2 linked regions of the Daphnia pulex genome follow. The protein of the gene in region 1 binds, or shares a complex with, the protein of each later gene. Links are inferred from orthologs where the notes say so. Each region holds a gene or a part of one and is shown in the gene's direction. Other genes may lie near its edges.

Region 1 (3,752 bases):
CAGTTCGCGTTTCCAAGCAAACAAGTCGTGTAGCATTTAAAAGATGCACGTTACCTGGTAATGCATATTCATCTCTTCGAAAATAGCTGATGGCCACGACACATTGCATGTTCGCTCGGTGAGTTTGCTCAAGCGGTTGACAGCATTCAAGAGGGCAAAGGCTCGGATTTCGACATCGCGTGGTTGAATGGGTGGGCACATGGAACGCAAGACGTCGTCAACTAATGGAAGGACAGATTTTGCAACCTAAAACACAACAGAACTTTCAGACACATAGTAATCTTTGGAGTGTCACAACTGAATTCCAACATAACAGAAATGCATGCAATTATTTTTCTTTTAGATAATGAGAGTTGTACCATTGCCAATTCAACAAATCTCTGTTGATCTGTAGAAGCCATAGCTGTAGTCACAAGCCTTTCACTCATCAAGTGACAGCCTTTTAAAATCTGAAGGCAATGAGGAACAATTCCAAGGGCATCGTCCACCCATTTCCATCTGTGAGATTCTAGAACTTTGTCCAAGTCAGGGTGAATCACTAAATCTTCAGGATCAATATTGTCCATGATGTAGTCTTCATCTTCCATCTCTAGGCTACTGATTAGATGAATATCAGACCTACTGGGAAATTCAAAAGCAAAATTACTCCCAACTGCGAAAGAAGTCTTTGTTCGTTTTTGAGATAGTTACCTCACATGGAATCCATTCTGCTGCACTTGTGGGCTTTGTTCCTTCTTCTTAAATTTAGAACCAAGATTAAAGCAACATAGTTTATATCTGCATATAAACAATAGCGCAAGGAGAGCAGCAATGAATACGGAAGTCAAAATCCCTCCAGTCACAACGACAACAGCGTGCATTGTTATGTGCTGAAAAAGAAAGCAATATAAGAAAATCTTTCGATCGTTTCAAGCGTCTGTCATATATTAGTTACCTTCGCAAAAACGACAAGTTTGGATGACACAGTGAACCTTTATAAGTACTCAATAACGAAAGTCCAAGTTAATAAACAACTAGTGCAAACATTTTTACGGCGGGATTAAAATTGTTATTATTTTATGGAAAAGAATGATGGTCAAGGCACTTGTTGATTTGTTATTTTCGGGGAACTTTTATAACGCCCTTGGCAGAATTTTAAAGCGCAATAGCATTTTCAAATGAATAAAAAATATTTAGTCGTGGGTTGAAAAATATTCTAAATTTACTAAATATTTTACTTGTTCATAGATATTCAATTAATTAAGTAATATAGATCCTTTTTAAGTTTAATAATAAATAAATCAACTGTTTAACTAACGGTGTATTACATGCATAATGTAGCAGACGACAAGTGGATTCTGAAAGCATGATTCTTTGGTCAACGGCGAGACTGAAACAAGGCGATTCACGTGCTTAATGTTTTCTGTGAATAATCGCAATAAGATTTTGTTGCAATTGATGATCAGAGAATATTTTTAAAATGAGTGAAAAAGAAAGTGAGAAGAATGGAAATGCCCAAGAGGTTCAACAGGTAGAGCATTGGCTGGCCAAACATTTTGAAATTTCATATCAGTCACAACTTGATTTTCTCTGTTTATTTAGAAATTATTTCAAAGTGCAATGAAGGTCACAAAGTACTCTAATGAATTACCAAGTAGTGGTTCAGACTGGGATTACTACCAAAGTTATCCAGCATATGCCAGCGCAATGAAAGAATTTGGTGGTCGCATTACTAACTTGTGAGTTACAGCTACCGTTAAGTATAAGAATTTTGTTTGATCCTAAAATTTTTATTTGTCAAGGATGACCACAATTTACGGACACTATGGACTAACAGGAAAGGTGGGAAAATTGGATTTGGAAGAGCAGATGGAGCTGGTGTCGGACAACAATGACATCTTGATGGAGCGAATAGTATGCTACTAGGAATTATTAGAATTTTACACCTGTTAAAAAAAACTGCTTTCGTTTCAGAATCTTTCTCTAGATGAAGCTGCTGGATTAAAAAAACAAGCAGAAACTGTAGTTGTTGAGATGATGGCAAAAACTACAAATATTAATGGCAGTTGGAATCGGCATTCTGTGGTATCTAGTTTTTCATACCAATTGTTGTCTTAGATGCTGAATCTATAAAGTATTCATCTTGTTTACAGAGTTCACCAGCAACCTCTTACAAACTTCTTTCTGCTAAAAACATTCTGAGACCACAGTTGAAATTCAAAGAGAAAATCAAGAATTCACCTGGACCGTTTATCCCCAAAATCAAAGATAAGCCTCATTCGTTGAAACCACTGGCGATACTATTAGAATTGAATGACTTGGGCGATGAAGAGTTTAGCCATCCGTACGAATTTGAATTGGAACGTTTTACACCGGATCCAAAGTTCTTCACCGTACTTGATGAAGTGCCTCCATTCCCAAGTGTTCAAGAAATCCCTTTGGTAATGATAGATACTGAAGAAGGTTTAAAAAGTCTTTTGAAAGTTTTGCTTGAGGAAACTGTGATTGCTGTAGATCTGGAGGTATTATTCACTGTCTAGCAGTTTTTAAATTGGTGAACCTTATTAAGTTCCTTAATTATTTATTGCCAGGCCCATTCATATAGATCCTTTCAAGGCCTAACATGCTTAATGCAAATTTCAACAAGCAGTTCTGACTACATTATAGACACTTTAGAGCTATGGGATCAACTACAGCCTTTAAATGAAGTTTTCTGCAACCCAAAGATTGTTAAGGTATGAGCTAACTGTTTAATTGAAGAAGTAACAAACTTATTTTGTTGGTTTTCGTTTAGATTTTTCATGGAGCTGATATGGATATTCAGTGGCTTCAGCGCGATTTCGGTATCTACGTCGTTAATCTTTTTGACACTTATCACGCTGCCAAATTATTGGGTTTTGCACAGCTGTCCTTGTCCTTCCTCCTTCGTCATTATTGCCAAGTTATTGCTGACAAACAATACCAGCTAGCCGATTGGCGAATTCGTCCCTTGCCTGAGCAAATGGTCAATTATGCTCGAGAAGATACCCACTACCTAGGATACATTTACGAAAAGATGAAAAAGGATTTGAAGATGAAGGGAACAGGAGATAATTTGCTGACAGCAGTTTGGCAAAACAGCCGACTGGTTTGTCTCAAACGTTACAGAATTCCCCCTATCACTGCCGAAAGTCACTTGGAATTGTATAGGCTCAGCAAGAAGATTTTCAACGAACGTCAGCTGTTTGCATTAAAAGAACTGTTTGCTTGGCGCGATCGAATAGCTCGAGAAGAAGACGAGAGCACTGGTTTTGTTCTACCCAAACACATGTTGTTACAAATCGCCGATGTTCTACCTAAGGAGATGCAAGGTATCCTTGCCTGTTGTTCACCTATCCCTTCGCTCGTTCGTCAGCATTTACTTCATCTCCATGGAATCATATTAAAAGCCAGAGAAATGCCTCTCGCCACTCTACAACATCACGGCCAGCCATTAGCCATCCCGAAAATGATGCCGACTCCATTGGATCAAGACACCGAAGACCCCCTTTATTGTATGCACGACTTGACACATTCTCAGGACATCCGAGACGACCTACCCACTCTGCTGAATCCGCAAACGATCGAATCAATGGCGTCAAGATCCGAGGAGTTTGGAGTCCGCGTCACTGTAAAAGAGTTCCCACAAGCTCTAATCTTCGCCGAATCGGCTCATTCTGGCATCGTGACAAATGTATCAACTAATTTTGTTTCTCCATACACGAGATATATTCGTGTCAGAGCTCTAAAGTCGG
Region 2 (3,752 bases), on another chromosome or scaffold:
CAGCGATTGGATGTTTACTTGGATTTGTGGAATGGTGGCTGCAGTCATGGTATACATCTCTTGTTGGATGGCCTTTATTTGGTCCTGTAGGGTTGTCAGGTCATTCCTTGGGGTTGGCGGCGGTGCGGGGCGGTTGGTTGGGGTGGGGGTTCGATTGGTTACTGAGCTGTACAGATTTGCGTGGCGGGATCGAGCTTCTTGTATGGTGATTTCCTCCAGGTAGGCCATTTTAATAATGCTCTTCATTTGTTGGTATGCAGGGCATTGATCGCTGTCTGCTTCATGATCTCCGTTGTTGCAGTTAATACACCTTCTTGAGCATTCTTGGTGTGTCTCGTGTTGTTGTTTGCCACATCTTTTGCAGTTAGGGCCATTAGCGTTGCACCTGTTGGCGGTGTGGCCGAGTCTCCAACAGTTCCTGCATCTGTATGGGTTTGGTACCGATACCTTTACTGGGTAGCTGATTGACGCTATCTTGATCCTGTCTGGGACCTCTTTCAAGAAGGTAAGTGATACTGTTGTCGAGGGGGAGCCTGGTGAGTTGCGGATCGGGAGCCGTTTGACATGTGTCACGTGCTGGTCTGCTAGAGCTTCCAGAATCTCCTCCTCCGCGTCACTTATCGGGATACCAAAAATTACTCCTACCTTCCTCGCTGTTGACCGGGTGGGCAGAGTGCTAGATGTTGGTCTGCCTGCCAGGGTCTTGATGTTGAGTAGTACTTGTTGTTGTTGCAAGTCAGTAGGGCTGACGGATAGGTCGCCGCCTGGGAGTACCGTGGAGTCCCGGGGGTCCCCAATGGCTGTGCAAATGGCTTTTCGCATGGCCTCACGTTCTGCTAAGGACATTGATTTGAAGTTTGGACGGTCATCCATGAGTTTGATTATCACAGGGAGGGGGTGGTCTGTTGAGTTGCACGGTCTTTTCGAACGCGGTGGGGCATCACGGTCGGCCATTTTGTTGGTGGCACCTGGCGCGGAAATTGCTTTGACACGGGGGCCTGTGGGGGGGGGGGGGGGGGTCGCGCGTGTTTGTCTGTCGGAATAAAGCGGGGGGCGTATATACGGTGAGTACGTGAGTCTGCTGGCACTTTGAGAGAGAGAAGAGAATGCACGTCAGGTCTCTACGAAGGTGCAAGGCGAACTCCCTTCCTCGAGTTCTTTAATTAAAAAACAATCAAAACATGATCTACGTGTTATCTGGTGTAATCATCGCGTTTGGTTGCCATCGTTACGACTGTCATCTTCAAGTGCTTAACCGCCGCTTTAGCAGACGACAGCTGTAAACAAAAGCAAGGCCAAGATCAAAGACACTTTTTTTTTCCTTTTTTTTGAGCAGCCTTTCCTCTTTTTAGGGTAGAAGAATATATAATTATGTATTGATATACTAAATCTCAAATTGCATTCAAAACCTTATAGATTGGAACAAAGATTGGAAGCCTGGTCCATATCGCAAGACAGGTGCTTAAAGAAGTGACACTGCAGATGGACTCGGATATGGTGTGACTTAATTTTGATGTGTATTTTAAACAGGCAAGAAAAAGTGATCCCAATTTCATTGTAGATGATAAAACAAGCTGTAAAAAATGATAATGAGCCTCCTGCAATCTTTGAGGTGAGAGAAAATTTTGATGACATAAAAAGGGAGAGTGAGGAAGCAGCAGAAGATAACCCTGAAGGGAGCTCCAACGGAGATGAGAATGGAGATGATGATTTTAACTTGGAAGCATTCAATAAGGTTATAATTTTGATAAAATGTCACAATTATTAATGCTAAACGGTTTAGCATTAATAATTATATTTTCTTTACAGGAATATCCTGAGCTTAGTGACACAACACACCAAAGAAAATATGGATGTAAAGATGCTTGAAAGTCTTTTCATCACAAGAATGTTTTGGTATGACATATGAATATGTACTATGGGACCAAGCTAGCACCTGTGAATTGTGATACATGTGTGAAAACATTTTTAGGCAGTGATTATTTGCGACTTCACGTCATCCTGGCAACATCAGGGAGTGAAGCCCTTTAAATGTGACGTTTTTACGACCGATCCAACTTACGTCAACATACGAGATCACTGATGAAAAACTGGCCCGTCCGTAATGTCCGCACAAATACTTAAACTGTCTGAAAACATTTGACCATTCACACGAAAGAAAAAACATTCAGTGTGATACCAGTGGTGTGTAACCTCACAATATTTTTCTTCATATCTTTCTCAAGATTTTTAACTGTGCTATAATCAATTCGCAATAGTAGCGACGCAAGGAACAAGACGATTTTAATGTCTTATTATCATTTACGTGTTGAAATGTCAAATCTTGTTACTAATTTTCCTTTGTTCTAGGAGCTGGAAAAGATTTTCGCTAGCTGCTCTGGGTCATCGTCAAAAGTTGCCAATCCGGAGAGAGAGGATCGATTATTGAGAGACGATATGAGCTGCATGAAATGCGACCGAAAATTCCCTTTGATTGGAGCGGCTATCCAGCTGCGATGTTCTACAGTTTATTCTCCTCTTTTGAAAGGTAACGCAGTTCTCTTGTGTTAGATCAAACAGTTTTATTTGATGCCTTGTTAATAGGTCGTAAACAGCAGCAGCAGCAAAGCCCAGTTGTAGTTCCTAATAATGACGTGTCTGGGTCTGAATCAACTCCATCCTCGAGTAATCTTCCGGGCAGTGACGTCATCGTAGCATCCAATGAACCGTCTTCACCCACCATCAGCGGTAAGGAGGCTTCCGACACTTCGGAAGAAGGAAGTCGAGGTGGTTGTGGATAAAATCATGCGACTCGCTTCTATTAACAGTGAGCAGCCAGAAAAGTGGCTCAGTTTGGAAACAAGTTACCCGCTTAATCAACTAGTTAACATGTTAATCGTCATCGGTAACCGAGGTGTTGTTCTGAAGTTCGGAACGAGTTGGTCTCACCTCATTTTGCTTCGTGATCAAAGACGAACCAAGAACGCGTGACTCACTTTCTCACTGGTAAATCATTTTTATTGTGTTGTTCTTTTATTTAGCTAATATTCTGCGGTTTAGATATTCTTGAGAAATCCGGATTTACTGTTCCGCCGTTAAGGACGGTACTCATGGCGGATCAATGGCTGGCTTTGATTGGACTCCGTCAGAGGAGATCAGGACACTGTTTTGACGGGATCTGCGGATGAAGGTGAAACGGACGGTGTAGTGTAGGATCTACGAGGACGAGTACCCGATTCATGCCGGATAGCAATTCTCGCGTCTTCCTCTTTTGTGTAAACTGACGGGTCGAATGGGGCAATAGTAAGCAACAGAAAAATCACCAGCAAACGGCCAGTTATAGCAACACAGCCTTGATGGTCACAAGTTATCGTATGGTTTTAGTATGTGGTGATCCTCGTTGGCTGACGAGCCATCAAGTTCAGTTTTGAACGTGGGGTGGGAGGGGGAGAGGGTCGCTTCTCAGCCTTCAGCAACTTGTCAATCTCGTCTCTTTGGTAAAATGACGGCCAATATCTTGTCTATTTCACCTGCATTACATTTGGTTGTTTTCTTTATTCAGGAAAACTTCGAAGTAATCGTAAGCAAACCGGAACAGATCCGGTATTATTTTCTCGAATGGACAGTTTCTTTGGCTACTAGAGAGGCGGTTGATCAACTGGTGATTAAATTTTGATTCCCTCCTTTGTTTTGTCCCGTCTTATTATTAATCCTTTATTTATCCTACTAATGTTTTGAACATATTAGATTGAAGCTGTACGATATCGTTGGGA

What was found. Proteins that work in one complex are often made in the same cells at the same time.
Region 2: exosome component 10-like (region 1) and exosome complex component RRP40-like share a complex: the UniProt entries of both Drosophila melanogaster proteins name them as parts of the RNA exosome complex. The link is inferred for Daphnia pulex from reciprocal best matches to the Drosophila melanogaster genes Rrp6 and Rrp40.

The regions. Positions count from the first base shown.
Region 1 is NC_060022.1:1,682,712-1,686,463, reverse strand, and holds the start of exosome component 10-like, read left to right. Parts: upstream 1-1,276; 5' UTR 1,277-1,459; coding exon 1,460-1,510; intron 1,511-1,581; coding exon 1,582-1,718; intron 1,719-1,781; coding exon 1,782-1,893; intron 1,894-1,953; coding exon 1,954-2,064; intron 2,065-2,132; coding exon 2,133-2,501; intron 2,502-2,570; coding exon 2,571-2,714; intron 2,715-2,773; coding exon 2,774-3,752. Other genes in the region: transmembrane protein 98-like, read right to left, coding at 55-246, 360-621, 691-860. UniProt on the Drosophila melanogaster protein: Catalytic component of the RNA exosome complex which has 3'->5' exoribonuclease activity and participates in a multitude of cellular RNA processing and degradation events.
Region 2 is NC_060019.1:5,895,654-5,899,405, reverse strand, and holds the start of exosome complex component RRP40-like, read left to right. Parts: upstream 1-1,267; 5' UTR 1,268-1,353; intron 1,354-1,354; exon of another isoform or gene 1,355-1,416; 5' UTR 1,417-1,497; exon of another isoform or gene 1,498-1,735; intron 1,736-1,809; exon of another isoform or gene 1,810-1,896; intron 1,897-3,752. UniProt on the Drosophila melanogaster protein: Non-catalytic component of the RNA exosome complex which has 3'->5' exoribonuclease activity and participates in a multitude of cellular RNA processing and degradation events.